Macaca mulatta: one gene and its partner. The protein of the gene in region 1 purifies or fractionates together with the protein of each later gene. This does not show direct contact. Links are inferred from orthologs where the notes say so. Each region holds a gene or a part of one and is shown in the gene's direction. Other genes may lie near its edges.

Region 1 (11,008 bases):
GGCTGGTCTCAAACTCCCGACCTCAGATGATCTGCCCGCTTCGACCTCCCAAAGTGCTGGGATTACAGGTGTGAGCCACTGTGCCTGGCCAAGGTTTCATCTCTTAAGTAACAGAACTGGGATCCAACCCACAGACCTGGCTCCAAGTCACATATTCTTTTTTAAAAAAATTTAATAATTTTTTTCAAGTCACATATTCTTTAGCCACTAAACTGTGGTGTGAAACCATCATGCAAGTGGGAAGAACAGTTCAATTCATGAAACTTGGTGTGCTGAAAAATTGCCATTCACCTCCACACACATTTTAGGGATGGTTTCACACACGCTCTAGGTTTTCAGATCCCCTGAATGGCAACCGTACCCTGGGAGGAGGTATGAGGATCAAAGAAGATAAGGGACTCGTCCAGAGCCACAGGTGGTTGGGAGCCGGGTCAGATTTGAGCACAAGACAGACCAGGAACCATCATTTTCTTCCTTTTCACAAGGATAGGGGAAACTGGGTCAGGAGGGTGACACTTGTCTAAGTAGGCTCAACCCAGCACTCTACATGGGTGGTCCTAAACTTGTGTGATGTCTACCTAGATCCTTGTCCCAGGACTGGATGCCCTTAGGTTCCTCAGACTCTTTGGGGGACCAAGGGTGTCTCCTGCATTCACACTGCTGACAGCAGATCTGCTCAGGAGTGAGGCACAGGCTGGGTAGGACAGAGGCACTCTTCAGATTCGGGGTACAGCAGGAGGGACTGGTAGACACTTGCTCTGTCCCCACAACCATCTTTGGGGAAGGGATCATGACTCCCCTCAGGGCCATGGCACATACTTTCAGATAATATGGGTATTATGGTGAACTTGGATATCTGAAAATTCTTTTTTTTTTTTTTTTTTTTTTTTTTTGAGACGGAGTCTCGCTCTGTCGCCCAGGCTGGAGTGCAGTGGCGCGATCTCGGCTCACTGCAAGCTCCGCCTCCCGGGTTCATGCCATTCTCCTGCCTCAGCCTCCCGAGTAGCTGGGACTACAGGCGCCCACAACCGCGCCCGGCTAATTTTTTGTATTTTTAGTAGAGACGGGGTTTCACCGTGGTCTCGATCTCCTGACCTTGTGATCCGCCCGCCTCGGCCTCCCAAAGTGCTGGGATTACAGGCGTGAGCCACCGCGCCCGGCCGGATATCTGAAAATTCTATGTAAATCCTGTGCTATTCTCTCATTGTAAAAGGATGCCAAAACTTCCAACTATTTAATCACACATGTGGGGTCCTAGAGAATGTTCACTCACAGCTTTATGTCAGGTTGACATGATGCATCCAAGCCATATAGACGGCAGGGGTCATGGAGATTTAGCACTCACTAACCCGTTGCTTCACAATACACTACCTTAACCCCTCTCGGAAAAATTTTAACCTGCACCTTCAAGATGTCCCCAAGCATGTGCAATCTCCATCCTCCCAACCACCCCACCTCTTCCTGTTGGCATTGGTCCCTGGGGTCTCCCCTCACCCACTCCTGAATGGGTAACGGGCTCCTATGGGCAATCCCACCCCTGAGGCACTGAAAGCACATGGGAAAACTATCTCAGAGAACCTTATTGGAAATACGTTTTCACAAGACATAGCTCCAGAATTGTAAGACACTAAATTAGAAAAGCAGTGTGCATAAGGCCGGGTGCGGTGGCTTATGCCTGTAATCCCAGCACTTTGGGAGGCCAAGATGGGTGAATCATGAGATCAGGAGTTCAAGACCAGCCTGGCCAAGATGGTGAAACCCCATCTCTACTAAAAATACAAAAAATTAGCTGGACACGGTGGCAGGTGCCTGTAATCTCAGCTACTTGGGAGGCTGAGGCAGGAAAATCGCTTGAACTCAAAGAGGGCAGAGGTTGCAGTGAGCTGAGATAGCGCCACTGCACTTCAGCCTGAGTGACAGAGTGAGACGCCCTCTCAGAAAAAAAGCAGTGTGCATGAAAAGTACTTAGATCAGTCCCTGGCCCGTAAAAAGTACCCTGTATTGGCCAGGTGTGGTGGCTCACGCCTGTAATCCCAGCACTTTGGGAGACCAAGGCAGGTGCATCACCTAAGGTCAGGAGTTCAAGACCAGCCTGACCAATATGGTGAAACCCCATCTCTACTAAAAAAATACAAAAATCAGCTGGGCGTGGTGGTGTGCACCTATAGTCCCAGCTATTCGGGAGGCTGAGACAGAAGAATTGCTTGAACCTGGGAGGCGGAGGTTGCAGAGAGCCCAGATCACACCATTGCACTCCAGCCTGGGCAACAAGAGTGAGACTCCATCTCAAAAAAAAGAAAAAAAAAAATATATATATATATATATATATATATATATTCCTTTTATTACGGAGTGATCCCATTTTAGCCATATGTGATGGTGTGCCCATATGTGGGATACAATTATGCTACGGGGGTGCGGTGGGGGGGCAGGGAGATAAGGACACATCTGTTGTGGGGGATTGGGGGTGCAGGCAGATAATCCTGGTGGGGGAGAGGAGCCAAGCTGAGCAAGACAGAGCATCACAATTTCTCATGTTTATACCTAATTACTCCTGCATGTATGTGACAAGAAACATTTGAAGAACAATTTCAAAAGGAAAATGTTTTTTTTTTTGAGGCGGAGTTTTGCTCTTGTTTCCCAAGCTGGAGTGCAATGGCACAATCTCGGCTCACCACAACCTCCACCTCCTGGGTTGAAGTGATTCTCCTGCCTCAGTCTCCTGAGTAGCTGGGATTACAGGTGCCTGCCACCATGCCCAGCTAACTTTTGTATTTTTAGTATAGACGGGGTTTCTCCATGTTGATCAGGCTGGTCTCGAACTCCTGACCTCAGGTGATCCTCCCGCCTCGGTCTCCCAAGGTGCTGGGATTACAGGCATGAGCCACCACACCTGGCTGGAAATAAATAATTTCTAAGAATAAAGTTTGAAAAGCAGGTTAGGGGTGACGTCGGTAGCACAAGCAGAGGTGCTGTGTGGGGAGAGCCTAATCCTGGCCCCAAGAAAGATGGCTCCACCCCAGAAGGCTGGAAAACCTCATGTCCAGTGCTTGCGGCCTCACCTGGAGTGGCTGTCAAGTGACCTAGAACTGCACAGCCACTGCTGTGTGCCAGGTCAAGACTGAGCCTAGTCATGTAGTCCTCAGGACTGTCGGGTGGATGCTGGCAGGGCCATGTCTCTTCGAGCATTAAAGCGGCCTGGTCAGCCTCCTGGCTGCACCTAGGATCTTGGTAGCCGCATCTCATCCCAGAGACCCGTGAGACCATCTTGGGGAACCCCACAGCCTGTGTGTCCAAGCACTCTTCTCACCTCTATCCCGCACCCAACTCTCCTTCTGCTCCTGCAGAGAAGCAGATTTGCTCAGGAGTGAGGGACACGCTGGGCCTGTGGGCCAATTTTGGGTTGATCCCAGAACTCCTCACCCTGCCCCTGGGGTCCAGTCCTGCCCCTCAGCCCCTGGCCCTGCTGTGGGCTGGGCTGCTTCCTGGGTCCCCACCCGGCAGCTCCTCCTCGATCCCCCTGCCAACCCTAGGGGAGGGCCTCCTTCAGCAGCCCCTTCTCTCCCCTATGAGCAGCAGCGGCCACAGGACACCCCTTCCACCCTCTCCTGTCTCTTTCTCACGATGTCAACCTTTCTCTTTCTCACGATGCCAGAGCCCCTACAGGGTCTAGGAAATACCCCACCTCCCAGTCCTGACTGCAAGCCTCTCCCACCCACTGGGACCCCTGCCTTCACCTCCTTGCTGCCTCCTCATCCACGGCTTCGCCTGTGCTCCGACAGTGCTCACTCAGCCAGGGGCTCTCTCCTGAAAAACCTCTTCCCCACCACCCGCCGCCCCCAGCCTCGGGGTCCCACCCCTTAGGGACCCGATTTCGCGAAGCCCCTCTCCCCAGCATGTGCCGCTGGACACCCCCAGTCGGGCTGACTCTTTCCAGCTCAGGCCCCCACTGCCCCTCCCAGTTTCCATTTCTTGCTCCTTCCCCACCCACCTCTCCCGCACAGAATTTGGTCAGGGTACGGTCCAGTCTCCTATTATTCGTTCTCCCCGCAGCATGTGACCCAGCCCATCCCCGCTCCTTCTTCCTCGCCCCGGGACCCTCCAGCTTGGCCCTCCCCACTTCCTGGGCCGGCCGGCCCTCACCCTCGGCAAGGATCCCCGGGCTCCTCTCCTCGACGCCCGACCTCTCCAAGGGCCTACAGTGGACAAGGTCCCCGCGTCCAGCAGCGCCCGTCCATCAGGGAGACGGTCATCTGCCACCTGCAAACCACGACGTTCCACGAGGGGGTACAAGCGTCTCCCCTGCCCATCTCCTGCTCTGCATCAGCGAGAACCCCTCCGCCTACACGGAAGCCCCTCACCAGGCAAAGCCGGGAGCCCCAGACCCCGTGGCCCGGAGTGGGTCGATCTGTGACGCCCTGCACAGTTCACTCAACCACTCGGCGCCTCCTCGACCACTCAGAGAACACTTGCCCTCCCGGAGACCCCGGTGAAAGCCGAGCACTCTTTCGCTCCTTCAGAGCCGGCGCCAGCAGGACCTCGCGCGCCGCGTCTCCCGGTGCGCCTGCGCGGGGGCCCCAGCGGCGGAAAAGTAGGCAGGGCCGGCGGCCACTGGTGACTACAAGCCCCGGCGTGCACCGCGCTGGACTGGCCGTGGCGCGCCCGGAAGGTGTCGCGGCCCTGGGCCCCGCCCCGGAAGATAAGGCGGCTCGCGCACACCGCGTTTCCTCTTTCGGCCGCGCTAGTGAGCTGGTAGGTCGTGCATGCGGCGCTGCGGCATGGGCAGTATCCGCCGCCATCCTCCTCCTTGAGGCGCGCTGAGACGCGGGCCGGCCCTCCTGAGAGGATGGCGGTGCGGACGCCCGCGGAGAGGGTAGGGGGTGGTGCGCGCGGCGGCCTTGGAGGCGGGGTCCCGGAAAGCCGGGCTGGCGGGGGTGCCCGGGCCGCCCGGACGCGCTAACCGTGAGTCGCCCCCAGGACCCATCGCCATGGGCCGTGTGATCCGTGGACAGAGGAAGGGCGCCGGGTCTGTGTTTCGCGCGCACGTGAAGCACCGTAAGGGCGCTGCGCGCCTGCGCGCCGTGGATTTCGCCGAGCGGCACGGCTACATCAAGGGCATCGTGAAGGTGCGGAACGCTGGCCAGGGCGGGGCGGGAGGGGACGGGACTCCCGGCCGGAACGCCGCACTTACGCCGCCCCTGCCCGCAGGACATCATCCACGACCCGGGCCGCGGCGCGCCGCTCGCCAAGGTGGTCTTCCGGGATCCGTACCGGTTTAAGAAGCGGACGGAGCTGTTCATTGCCGCCGAGGGCATTCACACGGGACAGTTTGTGTATTGCGGCAAGAAGGGTTAGCATCGCGGCGGGGAAGGAAGGTCGGGGTGGGGAGAGGTCTGGGTGTTGTCTGAGGAGTTAACGTCTTAAACCGGTGTGGGAACCTCGCAGGCAGAAAGTTGGGGTGGGCCACCGCGTGGCCAGGCCAGTGGCTACGGTGGGCACCGGTGGGTACTCAGAGAGCTGCACCGGGAGGCTGGATGTTGAATGCTGTGCTCGCAACTTCACGGGCTGCTTAGAGCGAGTGGGGTCGCATTACCTCTTACCGCGCTGACGGCCTGATGCTGCTTCCCCTTGCAGCCCAGCTCAACATTGGTAATGTGCTCCCTGTGGGCACCATGCCTGAGGGTACGATCGTGTGCTGCCTGGAGGAGAAGCCTGGAGACCGTGGCAAGCTGGCCCGGGCATCAGGGAACTATGCCACCGTTATCTCCCACAACCCTGAGACCAAGAAGACCCGTGTGAAGCTGCCCTCCGGCTCCAAGAAGGTTATCTCCTCAGCTAACAGAGCTGTGGTTGGTGAGTACCAGGCAGTAGTTGAATGCTGAGGGCTGTTGGGTGAACAGGCTGTGAGCGCCGGCGGACAGCCAGTGGCTAGACTTGGTTCCTGGAATTACCTGTTGTTTCAAAATTTGGGTTTTGTAAGTTTGAGGTTATTGTGTAGTCTCAGTTTTCGTCACTGTAAAATGAACACAATAGTACTTGCCTTACTGCTATTGTGGCGTTAAATGAGATTAGGATTAAGTCACTTGGGACTTGAATTCTAGTCTGGGCTTCCTGATTGCTGTACTTGGTTAACAGCCTTTTCAGATAAGGCAGGGAGAGATTTGTGACTTTCTCAAAATCACCTACTGAGTGAGTGAAGGAGGATTTGAGTCTCGGTTAACTCGCTGTGCTGTTGGGAACATCTTGGAATCCTTGTTACAAACTCAGCCTCGCACAGGGGAGGCCCTGAGGTTGTATTCCTGGAATAAGCAACGCTGAGATGGGGCAGGCTGAATCAAGTGTCCTGTGTCAGGTTGAGTGACATGTCGGATGTCTCAAACATGGTGAGGGGGTTGCTTCCCTGCGCTTGGAGCTCAGCCAGCATTCTGGGTGATGGAGGTGAGGGCCTTGGCTTGACTGCCCAGTGTGGATTGAAGAAACTACAGGGTGCAAGGGGCTCTCTAGGGTGGAGGCGAGTGGGCTTTTTGCTGGGTAGTTGGATGTAGTATTGTGAAGGTGCATGACAGGAGATTGAGGGGAGGAGGTGGGGGTGCTCTGACCGACTAGAGGTTCCCTGAGGTACCTGATCTCCCTTACAGGTGTGGTGGCTGGAGGTGGCCGAATTGACAAACCCATCTTGAAGGCTGGCCGGGCCTACCACAAATATAAGGCAAAGAGGAACTGCTGGCCACGAGTACGGGGTGTGGCCATGAATGTAAGTAACGCAGAAATGCAGGATTGGGTATTCAAGGTACCATGGCCACACGAGTAGGCAAGTCCCATCCACAGGTGGCCCTGCAGGAGGGACATCTGCAGTGGGAGGAGCAGTGGGTGGTGGTTTGTAGTCACAGGACTGTTGATCTTGCTCCAACCCTCCTGAAGGAGGTGGGCTCACCCGCATTCTAAAGCCATCTTCCTCTGCCTACAGCCTGTGGAGCATCCTTTCGGAGGTGGCAACCACCAGCACATCGGCAAGCCCTCTACCATCCGCAGAGATGCCCCTGCTGGCCGCAAAGTGGGTCTCATTGCTGCCCGCCGGACTGGACGTCTCCGGGGAACCAAGACTGTGCAGGAGAAAGAGAACTAGTGCTGAGAGCCTCAATAAAGTTTGTCTTTATGCCACCAGGCTGTGCCCACCCCCATAGTTTCAAAGGGAGGGGTCCCTGCTGGGAGGATTTCTGTGGGATCCCCCTCGTTGGTACTGGGAGGAAGGTAGACTACTGGAGTAGACCACCAATGAGTGGTGGAAGCTTGAAGGAAAAGTCTCCAACTAGAAGTGAGGTGCAGGTACCCTGGGCAAGACCCTTGCTTCCCCACAGAGGGGACCAAGACCCTTAGGTGGGTGACTCAGTACCATGGCTTGCAGTGCTTGGATGTAAGCACTCATTTCACGTATAACGAAACTGAGGAACAGGAAACAGGACACAATCATGAGCCTGGTGTTCTGGACCATACCCTCACTCTGCCGGCTCACTGCTAACTTGCTCAGCACCTGAGGCGTTCCTTTGCCCACGGTCTTATGGCTACATCGTTCCCCTCCATACTGGGTACAGTCCTGCTGATGTCAGTGTGTTTTTGTAAAGTCACTGCCAGGGATACCGGGCTTGCAGGTGTCTTGCACTGAGAACTTGGGATGGGCCTGGAGGAACGTGGGACAGACACCCTGTCTACAGCCAGGAAGTTATTCCTAGCCTGGCCTTTACCATTCTGTTCTGCAGATGACTGGGAGCACCCTGTATGCATTCCCACCCTACCATGGTGGAGAGTAGTCACTGACTGGAGGGTTCTGGGTGCTTTTTCCTGTGGGTGGAGCCTCATGCCTTACCTCATTTTCTAGCCTGATAGTGACAGGTGAGGTTGAGGTGGTGATTGAGTGTGGGGTCCTAGGTCACTGCTGGTATTGCTGAACAAAGGGATGAATGTATGCAGTGCGTGTATGGGGATCCCAGAGCACTCAAGAGTCCCTTCACCCATCCACCCAGAGCCCATACACTGCAGAGAAACTAACCAGGAACAGCCCCCAAAGCTGCATTGATTACCTTATTCTGAGCACATGGCCTTTCCCTACTGGCAGGGGCAGATACCTTCCTTCTTTTTAGCTTTGGTAGTGACAAGTGAGGCTGAGGGTGGTGATTGTGAGTGGAATCAGGTTGGAAGTGTCAGGGAACTGCCCCTCTGCAATGGGAGGGCAAGTAAGCTAATTGCCGTCACAAGGCAGGTGGAGGGGCTTCCTGTTTGGCCATAGCCCATGGTATCTTGTCCCTTAACCACAATGAGGAGATCCCAGGACAGCATCCTATCAGCGCTTTCACACAAGGAAGTTCCACCAGCAAATGGAGCAGCTGCAGATTATTGCCCCTAACAACACTCCTGTGGAACTACAGCAGGCAGAATGAGGCACGGTGTGCTCTGCCTATAGACTTGGAGAGCACCTGGCAGGTGAGAATAGGTCACGTTAGGCTTCCATGGTCACTCCGGGATGACAATTCCTAAGTGGCTGCACGGTGGCCCCTGACTGTCATGGTCCACACTGTTTCTAGAGTGAACCTTACACCCCATTTCATGATCTTGCTTTCCTCATCCTGCTGGCATGGCTGCACCTGTCTTTGGGCGCCCACCACACCTAGGCAGTGACCCAGCAGGGCCTGTTTATTTTAGACAGGCTCTCGCTATTGCCAGGCTGTTCTCAAGCCCCTGGCCTCATGTGGTCCTCCCACTCCAGCCCTGACCCCCATCCCCCGCCAGTAGCTAGGGGACCTGGTTTAGATACACTGTCATTCGCAAGGCTGGTCCCAGGGTCCTAGGTGATTGGTCGAGAAAGAATCCAGGAGGGCGGTGTTTCCTCCTGAAGGATGGAGGGGCATCTAGAAAGAGGGTCTTGGGAAAGCACTAGATGCTTAGCTTCGCCATGAGCGGTCACTGCTTTTCTGCTCCCTTCTGGGCAAAGTGGATGCAGGGCTTGGCCGAAGGACCGGCCGTCAGGGAAAGTTTGCTCCAGAAGCAGCTCAGGCACCCGAAAACCTTTTCTCCAGAGTGGACACTGGGCTCCATTTACAGGAGTCAGGGATGAGGGGCCATGGGTTAAACCCAAGACAGGCTTCTTGGGCCAGTAAGCATCCTCTCTTAGCCCCAAGGAAGGGTGCGGTTCCCGTTTCTTTCTCTGTAAAGGAAAGGACCTAGTTCTTTCTAGTTTGTGGCACCTTTCGTGGCTCATTAGGGAGATAATTTATCAGAAAAAGGGAAAGACTAATATGTTTTCGACTCTGACCATCGCCCCAGTTCTGAGGCCTCCGGGCCGTGGCTTCGGACTGCCACCCGGTGGCAGCGTTCTGCTTTACGGCTTTGCCATTCGCGGGTCCCCGGAGCCTTACTGCGAGCCAGGGAGGTGGGCAGCCGAGACGCGGCATCCCAGCTTCCCAGAGCGGCCCCGACGGCACCGCGGACCCGGACAGTTGGCTGACGTCATTTCCGGATCGGCTCCGATTGGCGGGGCGGGAGGGCCGAACGGGCGAGGTTGGGTGGCGGTGCTGCTCCGCGGCGCTGAGGTGAGTGTGAGCCCGGCGGGGGCGGGCGCGCGGGGCGCAGACCCTTCCCTGCGCGCTGCGCCCGTACCCGGTTGTCTTGCGGTGCTCCGGGCCTGGGTCCGTCCCGCCATCAGCGGCACTGCCTGTTCCAGGGACCCGGGACGAGGCCTTGAGTACGGACGCGCCTCGCCGCCCTCTCCCAGCCCCAGGGTCGCTCCTCATGGGGCTCCTTCCGCCCTCGAGCCCCTCACAGCTCCCTTGCCCCACCTGGGGCCCCCTGGACTCCTGCCGCACAGGGCGGCTTCTGCGTCCCGATGCGCTCCAGACCCCGAGGTCCCAGCGGCCCGAGGCCTCATCCCGGCTCCCTCCCACGCCCCTCTCCTGTCAGCTTTTCAGGGGCGGGGTCGTGCGTCTCTCGGTCCTCCCAGCCCTCTGCGGATGCCGCCCCTCCTGCATTTAGCGTCCGCGCTCCTCCATGCTGCTCCCTCTGCTGGTGCCTTCCCTCCACCCCACCCTCCTCGCTTCTAGCGCTCCGAGGCTTTTCTTCCCGCAGCCAGGTTTTTGTTCCCCTTTTTCTTTTTTCTTTCTTTTCCTTCTTTTCTTTCTTTCCTTTCTCTCTCTTCTTTTTTCTGAGACGGAGCCTCGCTCTGTCGCCCAGGCTGGAGTGCAATGGCGCGATCTCGGCTCAATGCAACCTCCGTCTCCCGGGTTCAAGCGATTCTCCTGTCTCAGCCTCCAGAGTAGCTGGGATTACAGGCGCTCGCCACCACGCCCGGCTAATTTTTGTGTTTTTAGTAGAGATGGGGTTTAACCATGTTGGCCAGGCTGGTCTCGAACTCCTGACTTCAAGTGATCCGCCGGCCCCAGCCTCCCAAAGTGCTGGGATTACAGGCGTGAGCCACTAAGCCCAGTCTCGTTTTCTTGTATCTCTACATACCTAATAGTGTTTTTGTCTCTTAAAAATCTACATATGTATGTCCGAGTGCGGTGGCTCATGCCTGCAGGGAGGCGGGCAGATCACGAGGTCCGGAGATCGAGACCATCCTGGCTAACGGTGAAACCCCGTCTCTACTAAAAAATACAAAAAAATTAACCGGGCGTGGTGGCGGGCGCCTGTAGTCCCAGCTACTCGGGAGGCTGAGGCAGGAGAATGGCGTGAACTGGAGAGGCAGAGCTTGCAGTGAGCCGAGATCGCGCCACTGCACTCCAGCCCGGGCGATGGAGCGAGACTCCGTCTCAAAAAAAAAAAAAATCTACGTATGTATTATACTGTGGATATTCTATAGCTGACAGTTTTTCTCAGCCTTATAACTGCTCTATATCCTTGACATTAGTTTTCACCACTGTGACTTTGCCGATAGACGCTGAAGTTTTTTCTTCTACACAGGCACATGGTAACATTCTTGTGTTTTTCTTGTGTGCCTTAGCAAGTCTCCATAGAGTAC
Region 2 (10,965 bases), on another chromosome or scaffold:
CTAGCGACAAACAGTGTGTCTGCAGGAGGCAGGGTTGGAGGGCACCTGCAGGGGCTGGGATCTTGGGGGTCCCTGGTGGAGCTGGGAGCAACTGTTGTCAACTGTTCCCAGGAGCTTGTTCCTACAAAAGGCAATGGAAGGGAAGGAGGTATTGGAATGGCAGGTGGCAGGCCAGGCGTGGTGGCTCACACCTGTAATCCCAGCACTTTGGGAAGCCGAGACAGGAGATCACAAGGTCAGGAGATTGAGACTATCTGACTAACACGGTGAAACCCCGTCTCTACTAAAAAATACAAAAAACTAGCCAGGCGAGGTGGCGGGCGCCTGTAGTCCCAGCTACTCAGGAGGCTGAGGCAGGAGAATGGTGTAAACCGGAGAGGCGGAGCTTGCAGTGAGCCGAGATCCGGCCACTGCACTCCAGCCTGGGCAACAGAGCAAGACTCCGTCTCAAAAAAAAAAAAAAAAAATTAGTGAGGCATGGTGGCACACCTGTAGTCCCAGCTACTCGGGAGGCTGAGGCAGGAGAATCGCTTGAACCCAGGAGACGGAGGTTGCAGTGAGCCGAGATCATGCCACTACACTCCAGCCTGGGCGACAGCGTGAGACTCTGTCTCAAAAACAAACAAATAAACAAAAAATACAAAAAGTAGCTGGGCGTGGCAGCAAATGCCTGTAGTCTTAGCTACTTGGGTGGCTGAGATGGGAGGATCACTTGAGCCTGTGTTAACACCACTGCACTCCAGCCTGGGCAACAGAGTGAGTCTAAACACACACACATACACACACACACACACACACACACACACACACACACACACCCCAATACACAACAACAAAAAAAAGGCGGGTGGCAGTTGAGGAGATCGCTGCAGTGGGACCCCCAGGAGGGGGTGAGGAGGGGTTTGCTGGCACATGGGAAAGGGTGATACAGAGAAAGACTCTGGTTTCCTTGGGGCCTTGTGGTGGCCAGGAGAGCTCAGGCTGTCTGCGAATGTATGTAAATCAGAGGGTGGGAATCCCTCTGGGAGGTCTGTCCTTCCCTGTGAAGGAGAAGATAGGGTAACTCTGTTGACAGGGAGGGCAGAGAAGGAGAGATGAAGTGCCTGAGGGAAGAGGCTTGGCATAGAGGCTGGGGAGAGGGAAATGAGAGCGGTCAGGAGCTCCTGGAAGATGATCTGGGCTAGCAGCTGGGGCTGCTACCAGGGCGGCTGCTGGGAGGGCCGGGCATCTGGAGGCCCCAAATCTGCATCATCACAGATTTCTCTCCAGCAGGGCCCAACCTCCTGGATGGAGAGGCCTGGTAGGTGCAGCAGGGAAGTTGGAATGGTGATGATCTGGGGCCATAACAGCCTCCTCCAGCGGACTCAGGGGCCTGCGGTTGTTGGCGAGGGGCTGACTCTACCAGTGGGTGAACAGGTGAAGCTTCTCGGGTTGCCTCAGGAAGACAAGATTGGGTTCTCTGGCTCTGGCCCCTGGGACCCCAAGGCACAGGTACCTCCTGCAGGGGAAGACTTGCTAACACACCAAGCAAGGCCTGGCAAGGGAGGAAGAACTTAGGTTCCCCCTTTGACATCTGGGGGAAAGTGCTGGGGAAGTTCTGGGCAGTATCCAAAGGCCTCAGCGAACCCAAAAGACAGAAGGAGGCTGGGCTGGTAAAAGGAACTTCACAGCAGACACCCCAGGCCTCCGCACTCAGGCAGACCTGAAGCTCTGGAAGCTGAGGCTGTGAACTCCCTCCCGGCCAGCTGGGGTGTCCAGCCCTGCCCTGCTCGGCCTCCATGGCAGGGACTCACCCTGCAGGCTTTGTGAGCTGGATGCTGGCTGGGTCAGGCCAGCCTCACCTGCAACTCAGGGGGAGAAGCAGGGGAGACACAGGATGACCCCACCTCCTGACCTTCTGAAGCTTCCCTGGCATCAGCCCGGGCCCTTATAGCCTTCAGTGGAAGAGCCTGGAGTAGAGGGCAGCCGCTTCCTGCTCAGTACCCTCAACTTCTCAGCACTTCTATCCCTCATGTCACCACGTCCCTGCGCTAAGCTCCCCCTTTTTAAAATACCCAATGTGATTCTTCTTGGCTAGCTGGAGCCTAACCGAGACACTTAGTTCCTAGAAGCCCAGTCCTGGGAAGTGGAGGTAATCCTTGGAAGCCTGCAGACCCCCTCCAGTGGGCTGTCAGACTCTAGCACAAGTATGAGGCCCACTATGGCCAAATGGGTCTCAGGGGCCAGAAGTACCCATGGGTGCCCCAAGTGGGTGCCTCACTACACAGGTATCGTGGGGAGCAGCCAGGCCACAGCAGCAGGCAGAGTTGGGCTGGGTCCATGCAGGCCTGAAGAAGCAGCCAGTAGCCACTCAAGGCAGTGGTACCCCTGGAGCATCTGGGTTGGTATGTGAGACTAGTCACACTCCCCACAAGAATTACAGCCATGCTCAAACCTCTCCCCACCATCTAGTTCCTCCTCTGCTAAAACGTGGAGCACTGTCTCCCAGCCTTGGAGCTCAGGGGCAACAGATAACCTGAGCTGGCTGGAGGAGGTGGTATCGCTCTTGGCTGGAACCGCCATGGAAAACCCCAACCAAAGACAGCACTTGGGAGAACATCTATGAAAATGTAAAAGACCATACCCTTGACCCAGCTGTTCTACAGATATGATTTGTGTAAAATAAAGCAAGTGAGGATATTTGCTATAGCAGTTTGTAATGGCCAAACATAGCAAACAACCCTAAATGTCCAGCAATGGTGACTAGATAAATTGTGATCCTTCCACACAAGGAACGCCATGTAGCTATTAAAAAGAATGAGGCAGCTCTACATGTGCTGATGTAGGATGAGTTACAAGACACATATAGTTAACACAAAATAAGGAGAGTTCAGAACAGTGTATATGATAGCGTTTGTATTAAATATAATAAATAGACTTGTCTATTTGCACATACAACTGAATCTGGAAGGACATACAAGAGACTGGCACTGCCTTGAGACTGGGAGGCCTAGGGGACAGGGAGGGGAGGGAGACTTTTTACTGTGCATCTGTTTGAATCTTTTGAATTTTGCACTATGTGTGTACTTTACAATTCAATAAATAACTCGTGTTTTCAAAACAAAACAAAACAAAAAAGCATTTAGAAACAAACAGGCCAGGCCGGGTGCGGTGGCTCAAGCCTGTAATCCCAGCACTTTGGGAGGCCGAGACGGGCGGATCACGAGGTCAGGAGATCGAGACCATCCTGGCTAACACGGAGAAACCCCGTCTCTACTAAAAAATACAAAAAACTAGCCAGGCGAGGCGGCGGGCGCCTGTAGTCCCAGCTACTCGGGAGGCTGAGGCAGGAGAATGGCGCAAACCCGGGAGGCGGAGCTTGCAGTGAGCTGAGATCCAGCCACTGCACTCCAGCCTGGGCGACAGAGCCAGACTCCGTCTCAAAAAAAAAAAAAAAAAAAAACAAACAGGCCAGACGTGGCTCACATCTATAATCCCAGTGCTTTGAGAGGCTGAGGCGGGAGGATTGATAAAACTGGGGATGTCAAGGCTGCAGTGAGCCATGATCCTGCCACTGCCCTCTAGCCTGAGTGACAGAGTAAGATTCTGTCTCAAAAAAAAAAAAAAAGAAAAGAAACTGGGATGACACAGCAGTGTCTTCACTTATATCCTACACCTCCACTGCTAGCTATGTGACCCTGGCCAAGTTAATTTACCTCTATGCCCCAGTTTCTATAAAACAGTGATAACTTTTTGGAAAGGTTATTTTGAAGAGTAAGTGAATGAATATATGAAGAGCGCCTGGCACTGAATCAGCATTATAAAGTGTTAGATATTGCTATTTTGCTGCCCCAGACTAACTCCAAAGCAACGCCACTTGAGCCATGCCAGCTCTCCCTGCTGCTGCTTCTACCTAAATACTTCCTCATTTAACAAATAATTTTCATTTCTTTCTTTTTTTTTTTGAGATGGGGTTTTGCTCTTGTTGCCCAGGCTGGAGTGCAATGGCGCCATCTCGGTTCACTGCAACCTCCGCCTCCTGGGCTCAAGCGATCCTCCCACCTCAGCCTCCCGAGTAGCCGGGGGCTCCAGGCGAGTGCCACTACACCCGCTAATTATTATTTTTTTTGTAGAGACAGGGTCGCATTATATTACCCAGGCCAGTCTCAAGTTCCTGGACTCAAGCGATCCTCCTGCATCAGCCTCCCAAAGTACTGGGATTACAGGCATAAGCCATCGCGCCTGGCCTTAACAAACACTTTTCTTTCTTTCTGAGACGGAGTCTCGCTCTGTCGCCCAGGCTGGAGTGCAGTGGCGCGATGTCGGCTCACTGCAATCCCCGACTCCCCGGTTCATGCGCCTCGGTCTCCCAAAGTGCTGGGACTGCGGGCCTGAGCCACCGCGCCCCGCCTGAGGTGATTTTTAACAAGTACCGCCGTAGCTGCAGGTATCCTGGTTCTGTAGGAACAATGAGGTATGGATGGATCCATACCTGGACCCATGGATTGGATGGATCCCAGGCAGGCCCTGGACGGAGGGAAATGCTCTGGTTTGCTAAGCCCGGCATCGAGGGAGGCCCACCCTCAAAGCTAACCGTGGAAGTCACTCCGGCCTCCTTCGCCCTGCCGCCGGGGAACCCTGCCGGTGGCTCTCGACCTGCTCCCGAGCCATCTGGTGACACTGACTTAGCAGCCACCACCTTAATTGGCGCATTCGACGCAAATAACAACCAGGGAACCTGTGGGCGGTCAAAGGCCCGGCTTTGCGGTCGGCCCGCCCAGGCCCCTCTCCTTGCCCTGTGAGGCCAGAAAGTTACTTCTCCGAGGCCGTTCCCCATGACGAGAAATATCTCCCGCCTGAGGTTCTGTGGGGTAGGGGAGGTTCGTGCATTTCTCACAGAAAAACCTCGCACAGACCCGCGACTGCCTTTAACGGCTCTCAGAAGACTGCCTGCAGCCGGGGGTGTCTCCAGTCCCATGCTCGCGGGCAAGCAGGGCTGAGCTGTGCCTCCGAAAGGGCCAACGGGAACTCCGCGGTCCCTGAACTTCCGGGGCTGGCGGGCTTCTTTCTCCAGGGCCACCGGGAGCGCCGGCGTGAGTGCGTGCCGGGGCCGCGCGCGGGGTCTTTGAGGAACTCCAAGGCTGCCCGAGCCTAGGGAGCCAGCCACATTGGAGATCCCTAGACCGCCCGATTCCACCACCCCCGAAGTCCCCTCACAGCCGGCGCCAAAAACGCCAGTCCCACGGCGCAGGCCGGGACCCGCGCGCCCACGGCCCAATCAGCGCCGGCCTTGCACAAAGCGAGCCCCGCCCCGACGGCACGGCTGCCAGCCCCTCCCCCTCCCGTGGCCGCCTCGGCCCGCCCACTCCCCGCCCCGCGCCGTTCTCGGTTAGAGGCTCGCGATTGGCTCAGGGGGACTGCCGCGAGCTCTGGTTGGTCGGCACGGAGTCACGAGGGCGCCGTCGTCGCCTTTCCACAGGCGATTACTGGGCAGGCTCAGTCTTTCGCCTCAGTCTCGAGCTCTCGCTGGCCTTCGAGTGTACGTGCTCCGGGATCTTCAGCACCCGCGGCCGCCATCGCCGTCGCTTGCCTTCCTCTGGACTCATCTGCGCCACTTCTCCGCTCCACACTCCGCCGCCATAAGCCGCCATCATGGTGAAGCTCGCGAAGGTAAACGGCCTTGAGCGCGAGCGCAGACGTCTAGGCCTGCTCTCCGAGGGGCGAGCGCGGCGGCGCGGGGAGGAGGGCCTGCGCGCAGTCCCGGGCGCGTTCTAGGGCGCCATGCTGCGGGAAGTCTCGCGCGATTAGTGGGGAGGTCTCGCGGCTTCTGGCTAGTTGGTGGCGAGGTGAAGAGCTTCTGCAGGTGCTGGGGGCGGCGAACGCGGCGGGAAAGACGGAGTCACTGAGCGCGGGGAGGGGGCGCTGGGCCCCGGGGTGGGGAGATGAGACCAAACTCCTGCGACGCATACGAGTCGGGACCCGACTCCTGACGCACGTGCCCGGGAGCGCGGCCTGCCACGTGGGCCGCGCCGCGTAGGTCCTGGAATCTCCAGAGGCACCGGTGCCTTGCGCCAGGAAATGGCGGTATCGGCCCTAGTCGGAGTCCTGGCCTGGCAAGCCGACACGTGGTGGGCCCCGGAAGGTGGCTCTGCCGCGTGCCTTTTGCGCCGTGTTTCGGGCACGTGGTGGCCTACCAGGTACCCCCACGTGGCCGCGCCGCCTCTTTAAGGGGCGGGGTTGTCTTGCTGGGAAAAGCATAATGTTCATGAGAAAACCAAGGTAGTTACTTCTTACCTTCGGGCGGGTTTTCTGTTTGTGAAGCCCGGGAGGAAAATTGTGGGCGGTTGAGAGTAGTCCATCTTGCATTGCCATCAGGACTCGTTTTGATGTTGTGCTGTTTGGCACTATGAGAAATGGATCTGAGAAAGGAGAGATGATGGCGTTTTACTATGAACAGTAATGGCAAAATATGAATGGCCTGAAATGTTGAGGTGGAGGTGTAATGACCTACTTGTGTCCATTTTAGGCAGGTAAAAATCAAGGTGACCCCAAGAAAATGGCTCCTCCTCCAAAGGAGGTAGAAGAAGATAGTGAAGATGAAGAAATGTCAGAAGATGAAGAAGATGATAGCAGTGGAGAAGAGGTAATTTTATCTAGCTTAATGCAGAATTGTGTTAAAACTACAACAATGGAGAGTTAAGACATGAAATTGGATGTCTGTGGCTAAAATAAGATTTTATTCATCCAGGTATGTCCTATTGTAGTGGTGGTTTCACAAGCTCTTCACTGACATGTCAAGGTGTCATTTGGCTAAGTATTTGAATGTGAGTTTGAGACAAGAGGTCTGGGGATCTCCTTTCCATGTGCCTCTGCAGGGCAAGGAGTGTGATTTGTTGTGTTAAATCATTAAATTTTTCCAGTTTCAACATGTTAGCCTCACCCCGACATGTAGAGCTGGGCATTGTATTCAGATCTGAGGATAACCTTCCCAGATTCCTTTCCTAGCCTCCAATTAAGATTAATTGGTCTCCATTCCATTATATATAAACTTTGTAATTCTACTCACTGCGTTATAGTTATCTTTGGTGTAGACTGAGGGCTGCCACCTCTTTGTGTTAACATTGACCCTCTTTACTCTTTGGCAGTCTTGGCCTTTTATTTGCTCACTGTAAAGACATCTGAGCACTGAATTGTGCTCAGGTTTTTCGTTGAGAATTGAATAAAAGTTTTATTCTTCCACACATTGCCTAATAAAACTATGGGATTTTCATGTAGCTAAACGATGGCTTTTATCAAACTAACATGCTCACTCTTTGATGTGTGATAGTTTTGTAAGGGATAGTTAGGTTTAGCCTATTTGATCTTCATTTTATCTCAGGTCCCAAGAATTGAGCTTCACTGGACTCAGTACTGCCATCCACCATAGGAGCCCCAAATGATTTAATACGTTAATGCTTGGAGCCTCCTAGGTGTAAGGTTCTGAATAATTTACGCATAGCACTTCATTATTGTTATACGTGTAATATGATACTATTACCATTTTCAGATGAGAAAGTTGGGGTTTGGGAAAATATGAGGTGCAAGAATTCAGAGGTCTGGTTCAGAGGTATTTTAAGTGTTCAAAAGGGTTCCTTATGGCTGGGTATTCACCTGATAATAAGGGCTCTGACCTAAGACAACATAACAGAAGCCTGGAGTTTAACATGCTAACATGTGTCTAGCGCATGTGGTCTTGAACCAGAAGCATTGGCAGAATCTAACACTCACTGGGACCATGGTTATCTTTTTGGGTGTGGGGCTGGACTTACTGGTTTGGTTTTCATTTATTCTCAAGGTTGTCATACCTCAGAAGAAAGGCAAGAAGGCTGCTGCAACCTCAGCAAAGAAGGTGGTAGTTTCCCCAACAAAAAAGGTTGCAGTTGCCACACCAGCCAAGAAAGCAGCTGTCACTCCAGGCAAAAAGGCAGCAGCAACACCTGCCAAGAAGACAGTTACACCAGCCAAAGCAGTTGCCACACCTGGCAAGAAGGGAGCCACACCAGGCAAAGCATTGGTAGCAACCCCTGGTAAGAAGGGTGCTGCCATCCCAGCCAAGGGGGCAAAGAATGGTAAGAATGCCAAGAAGGAAGACAGTGATGAAGAGGAGGAGGATGACAGTGAGGAAGATGATGAGGATGATGAGGACGAAGATGAGGATGAAGATGAAATTGAACCAGCAGTGATGAAAGCAGCAGCTGCTGCCCCTGCCTCAGAGGATGAGGATGATGAGGATGATGAAGATGATGAGGATGAGGATGATGACGATGAGGAAGATGGTAAGGAGTTGTCTTGGTAGTTACTGGGCTTCTGATTGCAAGATATCTTGAGATTCTGGGATCAACATATTCCACAACAACCTGGAGATGAGAGTAGAGTCCTTGTGGGAATTCTCTGGGCTGTTGTGTGTTAGACTTAATTACCCATGAATGATTTTTGTCCCTCCTGAGAAAATTTCAACAGCACATTCTGTGAGTGTTTTTCATAATGTAGGATTTTGTTTCTTAGTGATCTTTTTTGTTTTGTTTTTGTTTTTTAATTTTTTTGACATGGGAGTTTTTGCTGTTTCCTAGGCTGGAGTGCAGTGGCGCGCTATCTCAGCTCACTGCAACCTCCATCTCCAGGGTTCAAGCAGTTCTGCCTCAGCCTCCCAAGTAGCTGTGATTACAGGCGACCACCACTATGCCCTACTAATTTTTGTATTTTTAGTAGAAACGAGGTTTCACCATGTTGGCCAGGCTGGTCTCGAACTCTTGACCTCAGGTGATCCACCCACCTTGGCCTCCCAAAGTGCTAGGATTACAGGCGTGAGCCACTGTTCCTGGCCCCAAGTAATCTCTTCTTGCCATGACTATTAACTAAACATGGTGACAGGATTGCATTAGATTTTAAAACCGATGTTGGTTTTGGGAGATTGCTGCAATTTTTAGGTGGCTTATCTTTCAGACTCTGAAGAAGAAGCTATGGAGACTACACCAGCCAAAGGAAAGAAAGCTGCAAAAGTTGTTCCTGTGAAAGCCAAGAACGTGGCTGAGGATGAAGATGAAGAAGAGGATGATGAGGACGAGGATGATGACGACGATGAAGATGATGAGGATGAAGATGATGATGATGAAGATGAGGAGGAAGAAGAGGAGGAGGAAGGTAATTAGATTCTGACATACATTGACATGAGTTGTTTAAAGGAGGCACTTAAGTGTTTGTGGCTATTGATGGGTAATACATTGACATCTTGTCCAGAGCCTGTCAAAGAAGCACCTGGAAAACGAAAGAAGGAAATGGCCAAACAGAAAGCAGCTCCTGAAGCCAAGAAACAGAAAGTGGAAGGTAACTTGCAGAATTAGGGGATGTGGGGGAGATAAACAGCACAAATGATGAATGACAAAGGGACTTAATACTGAAACATGATGTTACATTGCAGTGTGCTGATGTGCTGTGTATAGAAATTTTGCTTTGGAAACTAACTTTTTACCACACTTCACAAGTAGACTGAGTTCAGCTTTTTTTGTATAGGCACAGAACCGACTACGGCTTTCAATCTCTTTGTTGGAAACCTAAACTTTAACAAATCTGCTCCTGAGTTAAAAACTGGTATCAGCGATGTTTTTGCTAAAAATGATCTTGCTGTTGTGGATGTCAGAATTGGTATGACTAGGTAAGTGCTTCATGCACATTACATACACATGGGTCTGTTAATACTTTTCCTTCCCTTATTAGCACAGTTACTTTAGCCTGCCACTCCTAAACATGAATAGTGTAAACATTTTCAAGGATTAGCATTAGTGAACTAAGTTACAATTAAACTATAGAGTCCCTGGATTGCAATTTCCAGTCAGTTGTAACTTGGTATAGCACAGAATAATCTTAGTAAGTTTTTTTGTCTTTTTTGTTTTGTTTTGTTTTTTATTGAGACGGACTCTGGCTTTCGCTCAGGCTGCAGTACAGTGGCGCAATCTTGGCTCACTGCAACCTCTGCCTCCCGGGTTCAAATGATTCTCCTTCCTAAGCCCCCTGAGTAGCTGGGATTACAGGTGCACGTCACCACGCCTGGCGAATGTTTGTATTTTTAGTTGAGACAGGGTTTCACCATGTTGGCCAGGCTGGTTTCGAACTCCTGACCTCAAGTGATCCACCCAGCTTGGCCTCTCGAAGTGCTGGGATTACAGGCGTGAGCCACTGTGCCCAGCCTAAATTGGGGTCTTGAGGCACCAGTGTTGGTGTTAGGCAGGAGAATCGCTTGAACCTGGGTGACGGAGGTTGCAGTGAGCCAAGTTCGCACCACTGTACTCCGCCTGGGCAACAGATCGAGACTCTGTCTCAGTTTAAAATAATAATAATTTGATGTTTATTTTCTTGGAAGTACCTGAAACTATTAGACCTGACTAGTCATCATAGTGAATGCTTTTATCCAGGCAGGATTCTCCTGTATTAGTGCTTACAGGTGTTCTTTTGTCAGCTGCTACTGTGAATTGTTATAAGCAATTTAGCTAATGATGATGACCTCAAACGTGAATGTGCACATCATATCTCCGTACTGAGACCTTATTCTGTAGCTACAATTTGCAGAGCCTTGACTTTGTTTTGCTAATATTAGGGGTGCTTTTTAAAATGTGATCTTTGTTTGCATCATCACATTTGTCTAGAATACATATTGTGGATTTCAGTTTGTGTTTTCATCTGTTGTAATTTTGCCCTTCTCTCCACCTTGAAGGAAATTTGGTTATGTGGATTTTGAATCTGCTGAAGACCTGGAGAAAGCCTTGGAACTCACTGGTTTGAAAGTCTTTGGCAATGAAATTAAACTAGAGAAACCAAAAGGAAAAGACAGTAAGAAGGGTATGTAAGGCTTTAGGAGATTATGCAATAAATTCAGGAGCTAGACTGCTAGGGAAAATGCTTTGTAACCCATTTCCCTTGGTTTCCTCTCTTTAAATTTTTTTTTCCCCTTGG

What was found.
Region 2: the proteins of RPL8 (region 1) and NCL purify together in Homo sapiens (affinity purification with mass spectrometry; 3 studies listed by BioGRID and IntAct, with this or other methods). This does not show direct contact. The link is inferred for Macaca mulatta from reciprocal best matches to the Homo sapiens genes RPL8 and NCL.

Annotation. Positions count from the first base shown.
Region 1 is NC_133413.1:155,212,685-155,223,692, reverse strand, and holds RPL8 (large ribosomal subunit protein uL2), read left to right. Parts: upstream 1-4,778; 5' UTR 4,779-4,873; intron 4,874-4,977; 5' UTR 4,978-4,988; coding exon 4,989-5,126; intron 5,127-5,208; coding exon 5,209-5,350; intron 5,351-5,634; coding exon 5,635-5,853; intron 5,854-6,638; coding exon 6,639-6,754; intron 6,755-6,967; coding exon 6,968-7,126; 3' UTR 7,127-7,161; downstream 7,162-11,008. Other genes in the region: uncharacterized protein LOC144330927, read left to right, coding at 4,054-4,493. UniProt on the Homo sapiens protein: Component of the large ribosomal subunit. The ribosome is a large ribonucleoprotein complex responsible for the synthesis of proteins in the cell.
Region 2 is NC_133417.1:136,717,524-136,728,488, reverse strand, and holds the start of NCL (nucleolin), read left to right. Parts: upstream 1-5,490; 5' UTR 5,491-5,631; coding exon 5,632-5,649; exon of another isoform or gene 5,650-5,842; intron 5,843-6,505; coding exon 6,506-6,622; intron 6,623-7,813; coding exon 7,814-8,294; intron 8,295-8,961; coding exon 8,962-9,159; intron 9,160-9,255; coding exon 9,256-9,342; intron 9,343-9,379; exon of another isoform or gene 9,380-9,449; intron 9,450-9,528; coding exon 9,529-9,670; intron 9,671-10,726; coding exon 10,727-10,851; intron 10,852-10,965. UniProt on the Homo sapiens protein: Nucleolin is the major nucleolar protein of growing eukaryotic cells. It is found associated with intranucleolar chromatin and pre-ribosomal particles. It induces chromatin decondensation by binding to histone H1.